Linked DNA regions of Caenorhabditis elegans. The protein of the gene in region 1 interacts with the protein of each later gene in a pairwise test. Each region holds a gene or a part of one and is shown in the gene's direction. Other genes may lie near its edges.

Region 1 (5,547 bases):
TGGGGATAAGAGAGCAAGATAAGCTTTTTTTAAAATCAAAAACATTGAAAACTACTGTAATTTTATTTCCTCGCTGGAATTTGCTCATTTTGCAATTTCTTTTGTATATCGACACCGAGAGCCGTTTAAAATAGCGAAATGAAAACATTTCTGCGAGAAAATAGATATTGCAATAATTTTCAAAGTTTTGGATTGAAACATAGCTTATTTTGCCTAGTCATACAAAAAAAGCTAATCGGCGGTGTTTCCAATTCTTACCTCATGCATCAATTCGACAGCTTTTATATTGAAATTTCTCAACAAATGAGCCATGATGACCTTCTCTTCCATGAGTGCAAAACGTTGGCCAATGCAGTTACGGCTTCCAGCTGAGAATGGGATAAAGGCGAATGATTTGCGACCAATTGAGTTTTCAGGAAGGAAGCGATCCGGGTCGAATACATCAGGATCCTTCCATTGAGCAGGATCACGGTGAACAAGGTACAGGTTGAGAAGAAAAGTGACTCCTTTTGGAATATTAACACCTCCAATGACTTGATCATCACTCAGTTCTCTTGTAATAATTGGAACAGATGGAAAGAGACGCAGAGCTTCTTTTAGTGCACATTCGAGATATTTCATTCTGGAGAGATGTTCAATAGTCACGTCCTCATCGTCGCCCATTACTTCATCCAGTTCCGCTTGAACTTTTCTCTGAACTTCAGGATGATTTCCCAGAAGATGAATTGCCCACATTAATCCTGTAGATGTTGTATCGTGACCCTCAAACATAAATGTGTCAACTTCTGCTTGAACATCTGTTTCGTCCATTTGTCCACTTTTCACCATTTCGAGAAGAAGATCCAAAAATGCGAGACGACCTTCCATCTTATAATCATTCTCCTGTAGAGCTTCCTTTCTCTCGACAATCACTTTCTTTGTGAAATCATGGAGAATACGAAGACATTTTTCATGAGTCCGTCCGTCCTCTGTTCTGAAAATTACAAATTAATTCACCTTATTAATGATAAAACTACCGTACAAATTATAAATAAATGAATTCCACATCAACGGATTATTTGTTCTTTTTGAAATCAGTTTATTGATTGTGTGCACCGCCCATACATACTCGTTATTCTGAAAAAGTATTTAGAAATTTTGAGATTCGAGTTGTTTACCCAACCTCCGCGAGTTGAGCACCAATAGCTTTCCCCATAGAGGTTTCGCAAATGATGTCAAGAGTGCAAAGGGTTATAACGGAGAGAACATCAACTTCTTCACTGAAAAGAAACATTTGAACGAGTTATCAATTAAAATTCTTACTCTGCTCCGAGGCAACACAATTTCTGAACCAAAATCTTTGATTGCTCGTTAAAAATCGGCAAAAAATCCTTGAGAATATCATAATGGAATGTTGGTGTCAATAGTTTTCGTTTTGGACGCCATTGTTCCTTTTGGCTCGTCAAAATACTGATTCCAAGCCATGGCTCGAGCAAAACGTATGCGAACCCTTTGTTCAGATGTTTCGTCGATGAGAAAATTGGTTCAACAAGATCGGCAGAGTAGAGCATCAGACATGGAAATGGGCCAATCCAGAGAAGACACATCCGTGGATCTGGATACAAATATCCCATTCCAATCACTTGGTTCATGAATCCCTCTGGATCGGGCTTGGTGATGAGTCCGTGACCAACGATTGGATATGATCGTGGCTGATTGAGGTGCTGGAAATTTATTTGAGTTATCTTTGAATGCATTTTGCAATCTGACCTTCAAAACTTGACGCATTCTCAAATGTTTGTAGAGAAGCCAAGCGATCACAGTCGCCATAGCGAGAAGTACAGCGGGGATGATGACCCCCATTGCAAAACCTTCTGAAATAATTTATTTGTGCGAAGAAACGAGCAAAACGCGTTTAAAACATGAGAAAAAGCGTTTGTTAAGCTTTGGTTCTAAAAAAAGAAAAAAAACGAACAGTTTTTGAATCAACATTCAAATTTCACGCATGTCGTAGTGAGACCCATCTGAAAATCGCCATGCGCCTTTAAAGAGTACGGTAGGCTCAAAAAAATTCTAAAACTGATTTTTGTTGTTTTCTGATATATCATGATATTTAAATCTTGATTTAATGATTAAAAACTTTCAATCGCGTTAATTTTTCAACAAAAAAAAAAGAAAACAAATCCAAAATTATTTTTCAATAAGTATTGTACTTTTTATGAATGCATCGCCTATTTGACCTATTCGATCTCCCCCGCGAAAAGTCAGCGCAACAATTGTGTTATTTTAGGCCCAACGAAAATTTTTGATTGTGAACATTCTTCTACTTTGCTGATGTTCAGAGAGCCGTAATGAAATTTCATAAATATTGTTTTATCGGTGAAGCATTATTAATCTGTTAATCACTTGAGTACATTGTTTTTTTTAAAGTTTTATCTTTAATTTTTGCTTCGAATTCTTATTTTTCCATTAATTTTTCAAACCAACGTTTTTTAGAATGTCAGCTCCGTCCCGTACCGTTCTTCGCGAATTGACGGCGACCAAATACGTGGCCAACTACACCGATGAATATCAATTGGAAACCGCTCGAGCCGGTTGCTCAGCCCTCCCACCACAACCCAACATCAATCATGATGCAATTATCGAAGGGCATGGAGAAGACGTGGAGCTCGTCGAGGATAAGAACTACCGTTCCCTGCATCGTATCGATGAAACTCCAAAGCTCGTCGACAAGAAGCCGAGCAAGGCAATCATCCGCGATGAAGCTGTCAAAGTGCTAAGAGACATTCAAACAATGCCGATTGAAAATCTCCGTCTCAAGCGCTACGACTTCTTCTCGCAAAGATGGTTCAACACGACCAGAGAATCGGAGAAAGCGCTTGTCGAGCACGTGCTCCTTCATCCGAACCAGCGACCACACTATTTCGCCGCTCAGTGCCGCATGCTTTCGGCCGAAGATATCTCCAGTCTGATTCTAGTTAGTTTCTTGAGTATATTTTTCCCAAAAAAATTTTTTTATTTCAGACTTCCCTCCTGGCCGAGCCGAAAGAGACGGGTCAAAATGTGGTTCGATTTGCGATCCAGGCAAAGACTGCAATGCCGTTCCAGCAATTGTTTGCAATTCTCGAAAAACTGGAGATGGAAATCGAAGGCTTCCAGATGACAGACAGCTTTGTGGTGGCAACATTGATCCGATCACAGAGCAAGAGTGTACGTAAAATAGTTTTCTATTTCACACCGATAACTTTTCATATTTCAGACTACCACTCGTCGCCTGCGAACAACAAACTGCCGGGAATACGGAAATCTCGAGCCAGGACTCGATTCACAAGGCCGACTGATGGCCTCGACTGCATCAATCACGTGTTCGATTCGAGGAAAGCGCCACGTGGAAACGAGGATCGTGTACAATAACAACTCGAGCGCCAGGGATCCTTTCCGGAGATATAGAGTGAGTTGAATAGCAATAATTTATCGGTTTCCAATTTATAACGTTTTCAGTACATCGAATTGGAGCAAACGGTGAAGTGCATGAACCGACGAGTGCAGATTGTCGAAGAGCCAGTCGAATTTCATGAATTCGAGGTCGAAAACGATATGGTCTCGTTGAGAAATGGAATGGTGCTTGTCGACGACCTAATCTCGTTCCTCGAAACATTCGAACTGGATGAAGAGTGAATTCATTTGTCCAATAATTAGTTATAATGTGCATAAGTTTTTGTATATATCTATCTGAATAACTAAGTGGTTCCTGTTAAATATATCAACTAACTTTCCCCTATTTTATTTTCCATTCCTCCAACTCACCATGACCCTCGAATATTTTGTTTATGTTCAACATGTATATTGCTTGAATTAACTTTACCAAATCATGAACTGGTTGATTTAAAAAATCTTTTTAACATGACTCTGAAAAATTTTTCAAATTAAATTCTTCTGATAAGCTGATAATTTTCTGGTTTCAGATATCAAAATTTTTATACAGCCGGGTACAATGATTTACGATATGGAAGATGCCTCCAGCCTAAAAAGATGAATTCGAAATTAGAATTAATGAACGCAAATTTCTGAAAACGCTGGCAATTCCAGCTTGCGACATGCAACTTTTCGATACTTGAGGCTTGATAGGCAATTGGCCACATTACATAGTGATCATAATTCTGCAATTTCTAAATGTCGTTTCCTGACCGATATCTTGGCTCGAAAACATGTGAAAACTTATTGACAGTAATACTGATTGAATTCAAGCAAACATATTATTCAAAATAAATGTAATATGAAATATCTTTAGGATTTTTTATATTTGTGGCCCTAAAGAGGGCCGTTGGGTTCGGTGGGTTTGTTTAAAGAAGAAAGTTCTTACTCCTTATCTCCTCCAGTCTTCTTTGGGAGAAGAACGGCTTGGATGTTTGGAAGAACTCCTCCTTGGGCGATGGTCACTCCGGCCAAAAGCTTGTTGAGCTCCTCGTCGTTGCGGACAGCGAGTTGAAGATGTCTTGGGGCGATACGGGTCTTCTTGTTGTCACGGGCAGCGTTACCGGCCAACTCGAGAACCTCAGCAGCGAGATATTCAAGAACAGCGGCCAAGTAGACTGGGGCTCCGGCTCCAACACGTTGAGCATAGTTTCCTTTGCGAAGAATACGGTGAAGACGACCGACTGGGAATTGAAGTCCAGCTCTTGATGAGCGTGACTTGGCCTTTCCTCCGGTCTTGGCTTTGCCTCCCTTTCCACGTCCAGACATGATGAGCGATTGGTGTTCGTAAGACGAATCTGAAGAATGAATCGAAACTGTCTGTTTATATTCATTTCTACGGTGGAGGGGCGGAGTTTCATGCGGGGACACCTCTATTTGAACATTCCGCACTCTCTGGTAGGACACATTTCTCTCACTTCTCTTTGTCCCCCTATTAACCTCGGTACATTCGGAATTTTGTGTGCACTCAGTAATGTGTCCCCGCGGGAAGCTCCGCCCCTCCACCGCAGTTTTTACATAAATAGGTGTCTCTCCAACCATTTCCTCATACTTGATTCAAGTTCATTCTCATCATGCCACCAAAGCCATCTGCCAAGGGAGCCAAGAAGGCCGCCAAGACCGTCGTTGCCAAGCCAAAGGACGGAAAGAAGAGACGTCATGCCCGCAAGGAATCGTACTCCGTCTACATCTACCGTGTTCTCAAGCAAGTTCACCCAGACACCGGAGTCTCCTCCAAGGCCATGTCTATCATGAACTCCTTCGTCAACGATGTATTCGAACGCATCGCTTCGGAAGCTTCCCGTCTTGCTCATTACAACAAACGCTCAACGATCTCATCCCGCGAAATTCAAACCGCTGTCCGTTTGATTCTCCCAGGAGAACTTGCCAAGCACGCCGTGTCTGAGGGAACCAAGGCCGTCACCAAGTACACTTCCAGCAAGTAAGCCATTAGGCTGAAAACTACCCCACCGAACCCAACGGCCCTCTTTAGGGCCACAAATCTTTAAAATCCTATAGACTTGATAATCAATAAATCGTTTTAATTTTGACTAAATCTCATTTTGTTTATGGTGTCTTGTTATTTGCTGTCAT
Region 2 (4,851 bases), on another chromosome or scaffold:
GGTTGTGGCTCTATTGAGACTCTTGTCGACTATGATACACCGAAAGATGTTGGACAGAAGAAGCTTGTTAAGGCGGTGGATAGGACGAAAACCTTCCAAGAGCAGCTGTTTCAGCAGGTAGCGAAAAAATCAATTAAAAATTTGAATTTTTCAGGGGAAAAAATGAATGAAAAGCTACATTTTAGCATGAAAATGACTTTTTTTGTGAAAAACTGGTGAAAATTTGGTGAAAATCGGTTGAAACCTGGATTTTTTTCATTTTGGCGCTGCTAAGACTACAAACTACACAATTTTGGGCGCTGCTAATTCAATTTTGGGCGCTGCTTAGACTACAAACTACAATTTTTGGGCGCTGTTAATTCAATTTTGGGCGCTGCTAAGACTACAAACTACAATTTTTTGGGCGCTGCTAATTCAATTTTGGGCGCTGCTAAAGCTACAAACTACAATTTTTGGGCGCTGCTAATTCAATTTTGGGCGCTGCTAAAGCTACAAACTACAAGTTTTGGGCGCTGCTAATTCAATTTTGGGCGCTGCTAAGACTACAAACTACACAATTTTGGGCGCTGCTAATTCAATTTTGGGCGCTGCTTAGACTACAAACTACAATTTTTGGGCGCTGCTAATTCAATTTTGGGCGCTGCTAAAGCTACAAACTACAATTTTCTCGATTTTGAACTGAAAAATGACTTTTTTCCAGCTTTTTTGAAAGTTTTCACAACTTTTCTCCGAAAAAATTGCAAAATAATCGGTGTAAAAGCCTGAATTTTACCAGTTTGGGCGCTGCTTAGACTACAAAAACTACAACTTTTTTGTGTAAAAATCTAAATTTATTGCGATTTTCATAGTTTTTACACCAAATTTTCGCAAATTTTCTAGGACGAAAAAGTGAATGGAGAACGAATTGTGTCGCTGGGCGGTGGTTTCAGCAAGTATCATCGGAGGAAATGTGCAGTTGACGTTGGATTGGCTGAAAATATTGCTGGATACACTGTCGAATTTCGCGAATTCACAGAGGGAAAGGAAACTGACGATAAGGAGATGAAAGAGCTCCTGGAGGAGACTTTTGTTCGTTTTTTCACTGAAAATTTGGCTTTTCTGCGAAAAAAAAATAGATGAAAAGAGCATTTTTAACGATTTTTGAGGCAATTTCCGCTGAAAATTCATAAAAATTCCATTGAAAATCGTGAATTCCCTCGAAATTGCGAAAAAAATCGGCAATTTTGGTTAATTTTGAGCGAAAATGTGATTTTGGGCGCTGCTTAGACTACAAACTACAAGTTTTGGGCGCTGCTTAGACTACAAACTACAAGTTTTGGGCGCTGCTAACTACATAAAACTTCGTTTTCGACCAAAATTTCCTAATTTTTTCTAAAAATCACTTATTTCCGATAGAAATTTCCGATTTTCAAGCCGAAATATGCGAAAGTTCACCGAAAATCACACATTTCTGGGCAATTTTTCATTATTTTCCACCAGAAAATCACTAATTTCTTCAAATTTTTGAATTTTCCATAGAATTTCTGCTTGAAAATCCAAAAACCTGAATTTTTGGCGCTGCTAACCACACAAAAAGCACAATTTCCTCGGATTTTTAACTGAAAATCCCGGATTTCTAGCGGAAATGGTCGATTTTTCCCCAAAAAATCATGCATTTTTTTCCAGAGCCCACTTCCACCTACAAAACTCCGATGTATCTCAGGACCTTTCAACCCAAAAACCGTGCTTTTCCTCGTCCAACAAGGAATCGATCTGTTCGACTCGTCATTTCCAGTTAAATTGGCCGAAGAAGGCCACGCGTTCTGTCTTTCAGACGATTTTCCGACGTCTTCGAAATATGAAGTAGTGGATTTCAATAATGAGAAGTTCGCCGACGATTTTACCGCACTTTTCGACGGATGCGCCTGCTATACGTGCACAAAATACACTAAAGGATACCTACAACACCTTCTGAACACCCGAGAGCTTCTGGCTTCGATTTTATTAGTTATTCATAATATGACAGAGTATGATAAAATGTTTAAGCTTATTCGGAGCTCGTTGGAGAATTCTGAAGGATTGTGATTGGTTTTTTCAAATTTTTTTTGTTGATTTTATATACTCTATTCTTGTTATTTTTTCACTTGTTGGTTTCTTAATTTAATTAAACACCTTTTATTCAGCGTTTTATTGCAATTTTCCCGGTAAAAACTCCGGTTTTTTATATATTTCCTATAATTTTTTCCCTATTTCCCCAAAATTCAGCCTAATTTCCCAGATGTCATCGATTTCCTCCTCCTCATCAAATGTCCGAATGGATCGCCGATTCGATTGGGTTGGACCGCCGGATAATTTATCGAAAATTCGCAAAATTATGTGAGAAAATCCTGAAAAATACGCTGAAAATAAATAATTTTCGCAATTTTTAGCGCTGCCGCACGGAAAAGTGGGCGGAGTTTGGTGACGCAACACCTCCGCGCACTTTTCCATTTGTTAACGAAAACTAGATTTTAATCAATTTTCGTCGGTTTTCAGCGAAATTTTCCCATATTTTTTGCCAAAAATCTGTTTTAAAAATTATAATTATTGATTTTCCAGGCTCCGCCGCGTCGATAATGAGTCGGAACTCGAGCGGCAGTATCGGCTGGCTCGGGAAGAGCTGAATCAGTGGAATTCGGATTTTTGGGCCGAACACAATCAACTGTTCGACCGGCAAAAGTCGGATTTTGTCGAGCGAAAGCAGCAAGAGCTTGGAAGACTGGAACACGTGTCGGCGAACGAGCTCAGCGAGTTTTATCGCGATTTTTTGAATGATCGACACGTGGCGATGATGGCCTATAATAAGTGGGTGAAAATGCGGTGGAAATCGGATAAAATTGATTAAAATTGATGAAAATTCGCGAAAAATCGATTAAAATCCATGAAAATTGCTATTTTTCATGTAAAAAATCAATATTTTCAGAGAATGGTACCGCCGAAACCTGCAACTGATTTGGCCAGCACTCAAAGTCAACGTTGTCCGATTTTTCCGAATGGCGAGGCGTTAATTTGTAGATTTTTTGGGTAGTTTTAGTTGATTTCGTTGCTTTTTCCCCGATAAAAATGGGTTTTTTCTTGATTTTTTATCGTATTTCTTGAATTTTCAACGGGTTTTCCACCCTAATTTTACCTTTTTCAACCTTTTTTCCACTTTTTTGCCAATTTCCGCATTCAGATGGTCGCTGGAAAACGTACTGGAGCCGCGAAGGGCTCACGCCACAACAAGAAATATTGGAGAAAGGGAACGAATATCGATGATATTGAGGATTCGATTCGTAAGTTTATTTTCGAGCGATTGTCGCTGAAAAATCATCGAAATTTCCAGTATTTTGACGAAAAAACCAAAAATTTCCATTAAACATGGTAATTCTTTCAAAATTGCGACAAAAATCGGCGATTTTGGTTAATTTTGAGCGAAAATATGATTTTGGCGCTGCTAAGCTAATTTTAGGCAAAAATTCTCAATTTTTTCACGTTTTTAGGCTAAATTTCACTAATTTTTCCGATTTTCAGACATCAAATCCCGTCAGGCAGCAACTGGAGGTGTCATTTCTGAGATGAAAGACGAAGATCTGTTCATTGTCGATCGTACCGCCACCGCCAACAAGCCAGTCGTGCCGAAACTGACGAAAAAGCAGCAGGCCGCGTTGGAAAAAATCACCAAAAACATCACACAGGAGCATGTCACACTTCCAAAACCATCCACCACATCGAAAATTCTGAAAAAACCCGCCAAATTGCCACGTGGCAACGCGATTTTGGCGCTGAAAAAGGGGCCAAAAGCAGCGGCGCCGGCGGCGAAAAAGAAGAATTTCGACGTTTGGACGACTGATTTGACGCCGAAGATTCCGAAATCTAAGCTTGAGAATCAAGAAGCCGCAGAGCATTTTCTGAAAGTTGTGAAGAAAAAGCAGCCGAAAACGCCAGGAAAATCGATTACAAGTCTGCTTCCAGCAGTACAAATTGCCGAAGGAGGTGCTTCTTATAATCCAGAAAGTGCAGAATATCAGGAATATGTGGCGAAAATTGCCGGAGAAGAACAGAAATTGATTGATCACGAGGCGAAGATTAAAGCCGGAATTGAGCCACAGTGGGAGAAGGTGTGTGTAGGCGTTGAGAAGGAAGAAATTGGCTGGAAATTTGAGAAAAATTGGAGAAAATCCGAGAAAAATGGTCGAAAAATCGAAGAAAATGGCCTAAAAATTGTTGAAATTTAGATTTTGGCGCTGTTTAGACTACAAAAACTACAAAAAGCAGCTGCTACCAAAATTTTTTGGAGCGATTTAAATGGAAATTTAGCGAAAATAGAGAGAAATCCAACTGATTTGCTGAAAAAATTGGCGAAAATCGCAGAAAATAGATGAGAAACAGGAAAATTAGAGAAAAAATTGGCGAAAATTGGTGAAAAACCAGAGAAAATATGAAAAGTCGACGAATTTGGCTCAAAAATTGTTGAAATTCGAGTTTTATTGCTCTGAAAATTGCATTTTCATCTAGAAAATTTGGAAAATAGCGAAATTTTAACCAAAAAAATCGAGAGAAACTTGAATTTTTGCTCATCTAGAGCCTAAAAACATGAAAATTGTATTTTTTTTGGACGATTTTCAGCCAAAATCGGCAATTTTCAGGTGAAAAACAGGAGATTTTGGTCAAATTTTGTCCAAGTACCAACAAATTTTAGATTTTGGGCGCTGCTTAGACTACAAAGACTACAAAATCATGGTTTTTTACTCATTTTTCTTGATTTTGAACTAAAAATTGACTTTACTCCAGGTTTTTTTTGGTGAAAAATCAGTGAAAATCTAGATTTTCTCTTAAAAAATTCCCTAAAAG
Region 3 (5,914 bases), 840 kb from region 1:
ATTGGTGTTCCCCGCTTTTCAACTCCCATCAAACCACAAAATGGTTTGGATCGAAAGTTTACAATGAACATGACAGAAAGAATTTCCGAAATTGATTCGAATTATCAAGGTTATGAATTATTCGAAGATTCCTCCAATGACTGTACCACTTTGATCCCCAACTGTCAGGAGGTCGAATCGTCATTTTATCGAGCACTTCCTGAAGCAGCTAGTTCCATTGTTCCATATCAGGAAGGAAAGAGAAGAAGCTCGAGACGTTTGAGTACTCTGAGTAGTCTCAAAGAAACTGTCAAAATAGAGCCTACAGTTTCAAAGTTAACGAAAAGAAGACGGCTCACGTAAGAATTTTTCTGACGAGAATTCTGACCGTTCGTATAGCGAATTAAGCAACGTTGATATACTTACTCTATTTTCAATTGAAGACAGACCAAACTTCCAATAATGCCAAAAACCAGTAAAATTAAATATATACTTGAGAATTTCATTGTTTTTTAGATCGATTGAAAGCTCAAATGAAACCATGGTGCCACACTCCGAACCAATTCCACTGGATAAAGATGGATTCTCATATGAACAACCAATTAATGAATATGGAGATAATGAATCGTTTTTGTCAGCAAAAAGTCTTTGCACTGAGCCCAGGAGTTCTATTTCTGAGGACGTGAAGCCGGTTTTGAAAGCTACGGATTCAGAAAGAACAGTTTCGATTGGGAATCATATCGTTGATCATCATCCAGTCATAGAACTGTCAACTGAGGTAGGATTGAAGAGATTTCCTTTATTTCTAATTTGTAAATTGTCGCAACATGATGAGATTTTCGTTTTTAATTGAATATTTTGCAGCATAATACCATGGGAGAGTTTCAATATGATTTCGATGATGAGGATACTGTGCTGATCGGAAATTATGAAGAAGTTGGAACAGAAATTGATGAGGCAGAACAGCAGAATGAGGAAAACAGTGAAGATGATGAAGAGGATGAGAGCCCGATTCCTTCGACGAAAAAAGTTTCGTTTGCTGTTCCAGTTGTCCAACGTCTTAACAAGCGAAACGAGCAAATGAATAAAAATCATATTATTAAATGTAATTTCGAAGTAAGTTCCGATCTGAGCCATTTCTTAGGGAGGATGTTCAGGAAATATGACAACATTTAAAAAAAAGAAGCTATTTTCAGGGTTGTAAGCAAATTCTCTCGTGGAAACTTCGATACGGCAAACAACGACTTCTGGATCATGCAATGACTCATGAAAATGAAAAGTGTCTCGTTTGTCGCACATGTGAATACTCTTGCAGTACACATCCCCAAATGAAGTATCACTATCAAAAAATGCATCCAGAAGTGAGGTGTGATGGGTTTAATATTCAGAAGTAAGCCGTCAATTGTTCAATAAATTATATAAAACACGATTATTTCAGAGTGTTCAATATCGAATTTGATGAAGTGGCGATTTTCGATCTTTTCCAAAAGTGCTTCGGAGGTATTAGACAGATATGAAATATTGATATTCAATGTGTAATTACAGCACATTCTTCCATCATCGGAAATATTGGGAAACCGCGGAGATATAAAAAATGTAAAAACTCGCTGAAAAATACTCCAGAAGTCGACAATGAGAATGTAGATAAAGACTCTCCAGGACCATCACACGATCTTTTCTAGTAGGTTTTTCCATATACTTTATTTTATTCTGAAGTTTAGTTTTCGCAGAATTCGCTGATCGTCTTTCGCTACGACTCTGCACAATGTGTTATTTGTCAACTCATGTAACATTTGCAATGTTTTTTAGTAATAGTTTCATTGTTTTGTTTTGTTTTTTGTTTGTTATTGTCGAGATAAACTTATAAAATATGTTTTTCATTAAAAAATAACTTGTTTTGTAAATTTTTTGTCCGCGAGTTTTTCATCTATAATACCTTTTTTGACTATTAAATTCAGTTCTGTATATATGTGATATCACTAAATTTTAATATACCTTCTTAAAGGCACACGGAGTTATTCAGATGGGCATCGAGGCGCAAAAAGTTTATGGTACTTTTCTTTAACTTTTTCGGCTGCTTCATTCCTTTTTTAAAAACATTACTTCGTTTTTTGCTAATTTTCTTATTAACTTTGCATTTTTCTGTTAAATTTTTTTAATATCCTTCTTCGTGTAAAACATGCATTTTTGATCATAAATGTTAATTGTACTATGGAAAAAACTGATCTAAAACAATTTTAAACAGGAAAATGAGTAGAAAACGACAAACTTCGCTAAAAACTAAGTGATTTTTTCTTGAAAATACAAGAAAAGCGTAGCAGCAAAAAATTGAAAAAAAACCTAGGTTTAAACCTATTTACCATACACTTTTTGTGCGGCGAGACCCATCGGAAAAAATACGAGAAGGCTCGTCAATATCTTGTTAAAATATGAAAATTTTCTAATTTCAAAGATGCATGCCAGATTATTATGAAATAACAGATGACATGCATGTAAATGGGTCTTCTGGCACGATATGGTGCAGCAACAGCAGAATGAGGGAAAACTAGGCCCTCGTGTAAAACGAGATTATTTGTTTTTAATTTGAATATTTAATGCTGTGATTCCCTTTATTTTTGTTGCTCGACCCTATTTAAATGTTTAATAATTATTTTTTCAGATACGATAAATGAATGGAAATTCTTTAAATTCGTTTGTTAATATCAGAATCTATGGAAAAACTCTGGAAAACTTGAAACATTATGGATTGATTGAATATTTGGTAAGCCTATCTTTTTTTCATTGCTGAGTATTCGTTTTTGAAACTATTACGATTTACAGAATGAATTCGCCGGTGGCAGCTCATTTGTTTCCCTCACCGAGAGCACGTCGATATCTTCAATCAACACTGCTACAGTCGATACTCCTCGTTTCTCCACTCCAATCGTTCCAAACGTAGGATTATATCAAAAATTCACACTGAATCTTTCGGAAAAAATATCCGAAATTGGACCGAACGACGAGAACGAAGATTTGAAGGAAAGCTATGATCAAGAACCAGAAGAAGAACTAAATAGTTCACATGAAAGTAATAATAGTGTGGAAAAAGTTATGGATATGATAATCGAAGATGTTGTTTCCAATCATACGACGAATATTGCAGATGGAGACGAGTACGTTTTTTTTTAATACAAAATTTTTTTTTCAATAATTTAAACTCTTTTAGCAGTGAATCTTAAATTACGCTGAATATTTTCTCGTAGTCCAAATTAAAAATTCATTCACTTGTTTTTTCAAAGCTTCGAACCTGTTTTAGACATTACCCATATGCAAAATTTTGTAATTTTTACCCTAGAGATCGATTTTAGTTTAATTCAAAAAAGTGTGCGCCTTTAAAAAGTACTGTGGTTCCCAGATTTTTTTTGTTGAATCATGTATATTAAAATACATCAAGTTTTGAAGAAACGGAGGAAAAACTAGGAAAAATTAATGCGGATTCTGCAAAAACAAAGTTAGTAACTACAGTACTCCTTAAAGGTGCATTCTTTTGAACCTGAAAAAAAACGGTTGCCGAGAGACCGGGTACCGTTAGTCACAAGAATTTAAATTTCGTTTTTTTTTCAGTATTAATTCGCCGATTGTATCATCTGGACAGTCGGAGTTTCTCCAAGACGGTGTAGACAACGATGGAAATATTGATGATTATGAAGAGTATCAGTCATTACCACCGAATGATGATGTTATTATGAATGAAACAGAATTGATGGATGTTGATCGAACCACAGTGATGACTCCATTACGAAGTCCTACATTTTTCGATTATCACAACGAATCCGGTGATGAAGATCAGTTGAATGAGAATGAAATGAAATCTCCAGACAGCAAAAACGACGAGATTAATAAAGATGAAATCCACAATATTCAATGTCATTTCCCGGTGAGTTAAATTTTCTGTTTGTTTTTTTCCATTACCTGGATTGTTGCAGAACTGCAATCGAGCAATTGCGTGGAAGAGGAAATATGGAAAACTTCGTCTTATCGATCACGCATTGGTCCATTGCGATAAAAACTTTCTGAAATGCAAAAAATGCAAGCACACTTGTCATACAATCCGTCAAATGCGTTATCACTATCGCATTTTTCACTCAACATCAAAAATGGAAGGCTTCGGAGTGTCTGGGTAAACTTTCTGAAATTAAAATATTTCAACAAATTGCAAATTTTTCAGCTTGCCAACCAAAAATAAAGGATTCCAAAAAATTATGAATGCTTGTTTCGCAGGTAAGTATCAAGTTAAAAATTATAGTTTTACATCCATATGGTTTTTGATTTTTTAGATTTGCTCTAATTTTTAAATTTTTAAAATCTTCTTGATAAAAATCGACTCAAAAAATTCATTTACTGTAGGCCAAATTGTTCAATTTAATTTCAAACATGGATTGGAAACTGAAAATTCTGTTTCATAATTCAGTTGAAAGTCAATTGTTCAGATCAATTGGTCGAGATGAACAAACGAAAAAATCCTCCAAAATCTCAAAATGGCAGCCGCCGTAGCCGGGTCAAGTCAAAGTCCAAGAGAAGTGGCATCTAGAACTTTGCAAGTTCACAGCCGTTTTATTTTGTAAATATCGGCATATTGCATACTTCATACATTATACATGCCTACAGCACGAATCTCGAAATTTTAATATAATTCGGTTTATGTCATATTTCTACAAAGTTTGTGTCATTAATAAAATCTTATTGATAATCAGCTCGAGATTAGTAAAACTTTGGCTCAGAAAATGGAAATTTAAGATCTGGCGCTTCAAATTGTTTAAAATGATATAAATCTCTACAATCAGGTAATACAAGGGTTAATGAATAAAATTCTTTCAATGCTGTTTGATGTTCTCACAGATTCCTCATCGTACTTTTACGACAAATTCGGCGCCTAAAGCGTCACGATACCCATAAAAAGACACACCGGACCTATAAAAACTTCTTCCTCCACCACTTCTTTTTTTCGATACGAGACGCGCTCATAAAAACGGATATTCATCATTATATACACAGAGATGAAGCAATTTTTTACCTTCTCTTTTTTTCCATTATTTACCGGTCTTATTTTTTAATGGAAAAGTTCCCCCTCTTCGGTCAACTATTTCGATAATCGCTTCATTTATTATAATTGGAGTGAGCGTAGTGAGGCTGTTGCGGTTCAATTATTATGAGCGACCGGCGTGAAAATGGATAGGAATTTATGATGAGTTTCATGTCGGCTCTTTGCAAAATTTGCGTTGCATTCTATGAAATTGCGAATTGGAATTGGAAACAATTTTAAATGACCTTTTGATGTTATTCAAATACTATCCCTTCTAAGAATTTTTCGGCTGACTCCCCGACAACTATGTGCCAAATTTGTCAAAACATATTAACTTGTTCAGAAGTTGTCAAAATTAGGCAAAGGTTAGGTAGGTACTTGGATTAAGCAAACCCAAGTTTAAGCTGATTGTAAGTTTATAATTTCAGAATTAAAGATTTTATTAACTGTGAAAGTTTGAAAGTTTCAGATCCATCCAAAATAATAATTATTTTTGGAGTTGATTTCAAGCATACTTCTACAAAAATTTTTCATGTTATGTGATCATGTAAAGATGATTTCCAAAACTTTCAATCCATTACCCGATATTTACACTATCTTACTGTACCGTACTTCTAAATCATTAATGAGATTAGAATACGTTATTCAGATAGATGTTTGGAAACTGTTTAGCTAAAAATCTTAATTTATAAGCGATTACTATTTACAAATTTACAAAATATGTCTAAATACACCATAGAATAGTTCAATATGTATGGCCAAAAATCATAAGAAAACGATCCAGGAACTTTCAAAATTTTCTAGTAAAGTTGTGGTAAAATGCATTTTTCACAAGGTTTCGTAATGTTTCAACTAAATGTTCCATCTGTAAAC
Region 4 (6,997 bases), on another chromosome or scaffold:
TTCAATAAAGGAATTTAAATGGCATTTTCATATTTTGTAAAACCCAGTTAAAATACAAAAATCTTACCATTGCTTGAACTGCAAAACTGGCCAATAAAACACTTGCTTCAGGTGAACAATATAGATTCATTGAAAGTATTGCTTCTCGTATTTGTAAAAAGAACAAATGTCTAGTGGCATCTAGAATAATCTCAGGTTCCACGTCTTCTGGATAGAATTTGACAAGAAATAAGAAATTAAAAGTTCCATCAGATGTGTCTTTTTGGATGTCTTGGCCACAGATCTGGAAAATTTCAAAAATTAATTATTTTCAGAGAAATTATTTTTCCCAAAATATTTTAATTTGATAATTAGAATTTGGTTTTATTGTTGGAAATACCGTATCCCCAAAAATGTATTCAACAAAAACTCACAGTTTTATCATTCTGTAACCAACATGGAATATTCTTTTTATTTGTGAACTGTAGTCCAAAATACCAAGTTTCCCGTAATCCAATAATTCGACAAACTGCTTCAAATAAATGTCTTCCTGTCCATGTTTTCTCAATTACAATCTTCTCCAAATCAGCATCCATTGTGCTCACTTTTGCGTAAATGGGCTTCGTGTTTCGCGAAAATATCGAAAATCCACCCATTGCTATTTTTTGGAATTTTTGTAGGTGAAATTAGCCTGGAAGTTTAAGAAAAAAATAATACTAGCAACTATTATTCATTTCTGAAAAAAGACCGTTGTCTGCACATGAACGTATTGCACGTATTTTCTTTCCGTCAAGTAAGAACAACATCCAAAAATTCAGATACTAAAATTGCTTTTTTAGTTTCTTTGAAAATAAAAATTTCAGATAGTTTCAGTTTGAGGCAATTAGAAAATAACGTGGATTCCAATATTTCCGTTTAAAACTTCGGAAAGTTAGAAAAGTTCTATAGTCTCCGAAGTACTGAATTGGTTTCTCTAGGGTGAAAAATCAATAATGAGATGAAGCCCATCTTAAAAAAAGTATGTTAAATAGTTAAGAAAAGTGAAGAAAATCAATGTAAGTACGCCCCAGGGCAAATAGTGTTGTAACTGTATAGGTATCTGCGTCGAGGAACTCTATGCCAACTGTCTGTCTCACAAGAAGTGTTAGAACATATGAGAGGAAGGAGAGGCATTGGAACTAACAACAAGAGAAGATGATTGGAAGAGAGGACGAAACAATATTTCAACACTCATAATGATGATAGGTATGGAATCCCAGGTGCATTCATTGAAGAATAACTGATAAAAATATTGAAGAACAATGATTCAATGCCCCCAACTGATATGACGCATTGTGAAAATATGTGGCCTGGTCTCGTGTGAACAAGAATTTTCAGTTTTTCGATAAATAAAATAATGTCAACACGCCCTTTCCTCCTCCATCGTTTTTCTCCAAATGGTTTCGATACAAAAGTTACATCGACTGACGAGATTCAAAAAGATTCGCAGTCAGCAGGATTCGAACCTACGCGGACAGAGCCCATTTGATTTCGAGTCAAACTCCTTAACCACTCGGACATTCTTAACCACTCGGACATGACTGCACGTTTTGGTTTATTATCAAGTATATTTTCATTTTGTACAATTTCGAAGTTACAACGAAAAAAATGTGCGAAAAAATTGAAAAAAATTTAACGCAGTCAGCAGGATTCGAACCTACGCGGGCAGAGCCCAATTGATTTCTAGTCAATCTCCTTAACCACTCGGACATGACTGCACGACGAACCACAACTTTCGTGGCCTAGACATGCCGGGTGTTACGCATAATAGGAGGAGGGGATGGGGAGAAGTGGTCAATGGGGGGAGATGAAAGGGGGAATAGGGACAGTATAGAAAAATTCACACAATCGGTATTTTTCGATTGACTTATTATTATATTTTCAAAAGAGACATCAGTGTGAAGTGGGGCGCACTTGTGTAAGCAAAATGGCCAACAAAAATTCGAAAACTTCAGTAACTTTTCGATTAACCTCCCTATTCCTTTGAAGTCATATAATTTTCGAATGAAGTTTAAGTACATTTTTTCCATATTGAAAATTCAAAAATTCCAGAAAGATGAAATCCAGAAAAATGTTTCGAAAGTACAGTGTACTGATAGTGAGCTACAGTACAATTTTCGTAAGTACGCTCGATGGAACCTACTTTCCCTTAAATTTACAGTAACGCATTAAAGTTCTGCAAAGTTTCATAACCAATCTGCCAAAAAACTTCCTCATAACATAATTTGTTGTTTCCCATCTTTCCACTTTGCTCTTCGTACTCTGTGCCTGCTCCCACTGTCTGGCTCCCAACACTTCCTGCCGGGAGCCTCGGGAAATCCCTTCTTCCCTCTCTCTCTCTCTATCCTTCTCTCCCAGAGCTCCGAAAAAATAGGCGGAGCCAGAGCACACACTTATGCTCTCGCTCTCTGTGCAAGAGCCACCTCACTCAATTTTTGTGCTACTTCGAGAGTGTCGATGCCTCATTTGTTAATTGTTTGTTATTTGATGATGATAATGAATTGTTGTATCGATATTTAATTGCACTCTGCGTGGGTGTTATCACTTAAATATTAGAGTTTTTCTGGAAAAAAGGAGTAAACTTAAGAATTTTGGAGATTTTGAGGGAAAAACAAACATGTGAAAAGCGGAAGAAAATAGAGATATACATAGACTTTTAAAAGTGCTTTGTTTCCTTGTTATATTTCTGATTTTTTTTTTCAAAAATTTGGACTCAAAAAAATTAAAATATTTTCAGTGTCGTTTAATCTCTTATTTATACCTCGTCATGTCTACTCTCATCGACCCTACCATTACGGAATCATCGGATGCCCAGCATACTGTACTTTTGCCTGAGGACTACGTCAAGAAGTTCGATCCTGATGAGTATTTGCAGTTTTATTTCAGCAGGTTAGTCAGAAATCTTTGATATGTCGCAACGACCGTTCGATGTAACCCATGAGATGTCGGCCTCCCACCAATGAACACTTTCTGAGCCCCTTATCATGTAGGCTGCTTCAACAAACATGTCAAGCTACCATTTTCCAGAAATTGGTTATGAAACCCGTAAAATGTCGGTTGCCGCAATTTTTTAATGTTTTGAATCCAGTATTATGTCGGTTGTTATAATCTTGCGCGCGAGGTTGCCGCCACAAAACTTGGAAGAAACATTTTTCATAAATAACGGGCTTCAATTTCTAGAACTTTCGATCCCGATTTGCACTTTCTATCCGCTCTCGATACCGTTCACTTCATTTTTGACACAAAAACGAGTGGTTTGTTCACAAACAAAACCTCTTATCCCCGGCTTGCTTTGGCTTTGCTCCTGTTGCTGCTGCACACGAAATCGGTCGCAGATCGGTTACCTTTTTCTCTTTTTGAGTAGGAGAGGATCTTTTGTGTCAAGAGATCGAAAAAACTGAGAAAAGAGGAGGGAGGCATCATTGGCTCTTAGACTCTAAACTTTTGAAAATGAGACGACACATTTTTGGGTGCTATCAAGTCAAGTACCTGTCTGACAAGGAACGAACAATCCAAGGGAGAGAGTATAAACATCAGACATTCCATATATATCCAAAATTTCATTTCTCATTTCCAGAGATGCTATTGAAGATGGAACCCGTGTTTCCCTATTCGCACTTCCTGTCTTCGCCCAACTTATGCTCCAAACTATGCGACCTTCTGAACGTGAAACTCTTCTGGATATTGGAGCAGGACCAACCGTCTATTCGGCTCTTTGTTTCCGTGATGTGGCAAAGCGTGTTCACTTATCAGATTTTGTCGATCGGAACCTTGACGTTCTGAGAAAATGGATCCGCCACGAGGAGACTATTGACTGGGTGCCAACTATCAAAGTGATCAACCGAACGGAAGGAGGTCCCACTCCAACAGATCAAGTATGCATTGATGTTGAAGAAAAAGCCCGCGGATTGGTCAAGTCTGGTGGAATTCATTTCGCAGATGTTCACCAGATGGATGTGGTCCCTGAATTGGCTGGGAAGAAGGTGGATATCCTGGTGTCGATCTTCACGTTAGAAAGTGCTTGTCGCAACTATGAAGAGTATTGTAAATGTGTCACTAATATGGTAAGTCTAAATGGATTTTTGCGGTTTAGGCTTAGGCTTAAGCATATCGTTCGTTTTAGGAGCTTGATTATGCCATTAAGGTTATTTTACACGTCTCTTCTAAAATAGTTTCTGAAATCCCAGTACTGAAGATAGATCTTGGTTCACATTTCTTTTTCTCCATTTCTAAGTTCAAAACACGAATTTCTTTCGAATAGAGAACAATAAAATTGTAAACTACAGTAAACTACTAGCTCAAAGAGTTATTGTAAGTGTAATTCGATCTATTTTATTCTCCAGTAACAACTTCGTCATAACTTTCTTTTCATATTCCTATATCTCTTCACAATCAGTGTTCACTTCCCCTTTACACCCGTTCTCTATTTCTCTGTCTATCTTATATCCAATTTTCACGGTGCCAACGAAGAAAATGAAAAAAAAAAGAGTTTAGAAACAGATGTCTTTCATCTTTTCCAAGATGTAAAGTGTGTCGTTTTTCGGAAAAAAAAGAAATGAGAATGAGCCAACGACTGAATGGCACCAGATTTGATAGTTTGAAATGAGAAAAAGTGAAATCAAAATGTGTTTTGATTTTGTGTGATTCCAGATGAGACATCTCCGTTCCGGCGGTCGTTTTGTGCTTGGTTCGGTGCTCGAGGACGATGAGTACAACTCGGGAAGAAAGGTAGGAAAGGGCCAATTGATCTGGTAATTTGATCTGTGCTCTTGCGATTTTAACGGGGTCAGTTTGTGTGATTGCGTCAATGATGCAGGTATATATGATAGCTAGAGAAGTTTTATTGGTTTTAGGCGATGGGAATGAGGATTGAAGGATACAAATTCAGACTTGTGATAGAACATATCTTTTTGAAACAGTGCTAGTATTTTTTTTTTCTGAAATATTAGACGTTTAAGCGATACATTAACTTCGAAAACGGAGCAGTGGGGCCGCAAGACTAACATGTTACTGTACTTAAAATTAAAGGAAAAACCGATAAACCGTTTTCTCGAGGATGTTTCTTGTTTTTCTTTTTACTTCCTCTTACTTTTACCCGCTCTTAGCATATTTCCAAACTTTGTACAAAATTTAAAAAAAAAACATATGATTGTTTTTTCGCGCGGCGAGACCCAACTGTATAAATAGACCTGCATTAAAATTCGTAGCCAAAATACTCGTATGTATATGCCAACAAAAAAAATCAAAATTTACAGACAATCTTCCATCTCCTCAATCTCAGTGAACAGATGATTCTTGATGCTCTTGTATCTGTTGGTCTTGATGTTGCCAATGCAAAGAAATACGTTTTGGACGGAGAAGGTGTCATGTTCATAATGGCTACGAAGCTCTAAACTTGTTGTTTAATTAGATTCCCCACTCGATCATTTGTCAGTATTGATGAAGTCACTAGGCGTATATCAACAAAAAAGTACTGTACTCGGCTTTAGGTCTCTTTCACTTCTTTTTTTAATTGTGCACTATATTCTTTTCATATGTTTCGCTTTTTAATTGTAAAATGGTCAGAATTCATCCGTCCTCTGCATGTTGTATTTCGAGCTTACTGGTTTGCTTAATATTGATATAATAATAATAATAAATCTGTAGAAATTGAGAACTGAATTAAAAGTGGAGCATCAGTAGAAAAACGTTTGAAATCATCCAAAACCGAGGTAAGTGCTTAAATATAATAAAAGTGTGTTTCATATTCATCAATTTCAATTTCAAACTTTCTGAGTTCCATCATCGCTGGGCGGAGAACGATCGAGTCCCAACAATAGATCATCTCGATTTGGAGATGCAGGAGATCTAGAAGAAGGACGTGGCTTTTTGGAAAATGAAACATCTGATTCTTCTGATTCTTCACGACGACGCTATAAAAATTTCATTTAGTTATATTTTTTGATGGAATATTTAGATTACCGCTTTCAGTAAAACCCTTTTCACTTCATGAGCTGAGTTTCCAAGTTCTAGCAAATTGAACGCCGATGATATCATTTTCAGATTGGGTGGTGCGTACATTGAGATGTAGTTGCAAAATTGATTCAGGATCTCAAAAATATTTTTTAGGAACAATTAATCCAGAGAATCTGAATTAGGTGCCTTCAACCAAATCCAAAGAATACATACACTCTCGTTTCTCTGCAGTAACCGTTATTCCTCACCTGTGTCAATGTATGAAGCCTGTTAATCTCTTGAACGTCATTCTTGAATTTTTCAAACATTTCCAGCAACTGCTTCACTTCATCGTAACTAAATCCAATTTGCATTAGATCAAACTGTCGTTCCGCAGGAAATCTCATCAACTCCTCTTCGGACGCTAGTGGAGCCAGCATTTCAATGTGATTCTTCCGCTTAAATTATTTATTGAAAATTAAAAGATTTGATAATTAAACCAGTATAACATCGACGTAGGCATATAATACCTTCCTTGTGCCTACCTACTGCTACACTACAAGACCTACTTATTTGTTATTATCTCAGTTGGTTTACATCTAAAGGTTTACATCTACATCTAAAGTTATCATCTAAAGTGGCCTCAAAATGCAGAAAATGTGTAATAGTCAGGTAGGTCAGGTAGACTTGTTATGATAATATGGGCACGGGCCTACCTACTACGACAATCTCATAAAAACTTACTGTGTGATTGTTCAATAAACTGCTAAGAGTTGTTGGGGTCACCACAAAATTTTGGCTCTCTGAAGTCGTTGAAAGAGAGCTCTGAGAATCGAATCCCGGTTGAAACGACAGAGGTGTGCTGGGCTCGAATTTCTGGAAAATTGCAATCTTACTATTAGTCAAAAATATTGGAAAATTGAATTTAAAAAATATCCTACATTTATATTTGATTTCAAACGATTTTTCAAAGATGCCCTTTGTATATCGGCTGCCCGACATATCCTATCAAAGAATAGCTCTTTGTGTGGTCCAAGCAATGTAG

The links.
Region 2: the proteins of memi-3 (region 1) and Y39B6A.34 interact in a two-hybrid assay, tested with the Caenorhabditis elegans proteins (one large-scale study listed by BioGRID).
Region 3: the proteins of memi-3 (region 1) and him-8 interact in a two-hybrid assay, tested with the Caenorhabditis elegans proteins (one large-scale study listed by BioGRID).
Region 4: the proteins of memi-3 (region 1) and anmt-2 interact in a two-hybrid assay, tested with the Caenorhabditis elegans proteins (one large-scale study listed by BioGRID).

The regions. Positions count from the first base shown.
Region 1 is NC_003282.8:11,400,267-11,405,813, reverse strand, and holds memi-3 (MEiosis-to-MItosis transition associated), read left to right. Parts: upstream 1-2,475; 5' UTR 2,476-2,476; coding exon 2,477-2,956; intron 2,957-3,003; coding exon 3,004-3,189; intron 3,190-3,238; coding exon 3,239-3,430; intron 3,431-3,480; coding exon 3,481-3,657; 3' UTR 3,658-3,869; downstream 3,870-5,547. Other genes in the region: cyp-31A2 (CYtochrome P450 family), read right to left, coding at 259-973, 1,022-1,116, 1,163-1,259, 1,303-1,703, 1,750-1,842; his-65 (Histone H2A), read right to left, coding at 4,339-4,722; his-66 (putative histone H2B 4), read left to right, coding at 5,028-5,399.
Region 2 is NC_003283.11:18,998,763-19,003,613, forward strand, and holds Y39B6A.34 (COA8 family protein Y39B6A.34, mitochondrial), read left to right. Parts: upstream 1-2,255; 5' UTR 2,256-2,257; coding exon 2,258-2,355; intron 2,356-2,577; coding exon 2,578-2,823; intron 2,824-2,941; coding exon 2,942-3,026; 3' UTR 3,027-3,094; downstream 3,095-4,851. Other genes in the region: tgt-2 (Queuine tRNA-ribosyltransferase accessory subunit 2), read left to right, coding at 1-117, 880-1,068, 1,666-2,064; nol-53 (Ribosome biogenesis protein NOP53), read left to right, coding at 3,194-3,293, 3,532-4,118. UniProt on the Caenorhabditis elegans protein: May be required for cytochrome c complex (COX) assembly and function, COX being the terminal component of the mitochondrial respiratory chain.
Region 3 is NC_003282.8:10,559,267-10,565,180, forward strand, and holds him-8 (C2H2-type domain-containing protein), read left to right. Parts: upstream 1-2,638; 5' UTR 2,639-2,647; coding exon 2,648-2,740; intron 2,741-2,799; coding exon 2,800-3,131; intron 3,132-3,582; coding exon 3,583-3,895; intron 3,896-3,944; coding exon 3,945-4,138; intron 4,139-4,186; coding exon 4,187-4,239; intron 4,240-4,448; coding exon 4,449-4,549; 3' UTR 4,550-4,708; downstream 4,709-5,914. Other genes in the region: zim-3 (C2H2-type domain-containing protein), read left to right, coding at 1-338, 496-757, 844-1,095, 1,176-1,369, 1,418-1,479, 1,525-1,660, 1,701-1,719.
Region 4 is NC_003281.10:6,153,517-6,160,513, reverse strand, and holds anmt-2 (Nicotinamide N-methyltransferase), read left to right. Parts: upstream 1-2,755; 5' UTR 2,756-2,785; coding exon 2,786-2,907; intron 2,908-3,595; coding exon 3,596-4,082; intron 4,083-4,668; coding exon 4,669-4,746; intron 4,747-5,273; coding exon 5,274-5,411; 3' UTR 5,412-5,670; downstream 5,671-6,997. Other genes in the region: nfm-1 (FERM domain-containing protein), read right to left, coding at 68-283, 414-635; rotr-1 (Nbl1_Borealin_N domain-containing protein), read right to left, coding at 5,781-5,930, 5,980-6,108, 6,222-6,410, 6,697-6,828, 6,894-6,997.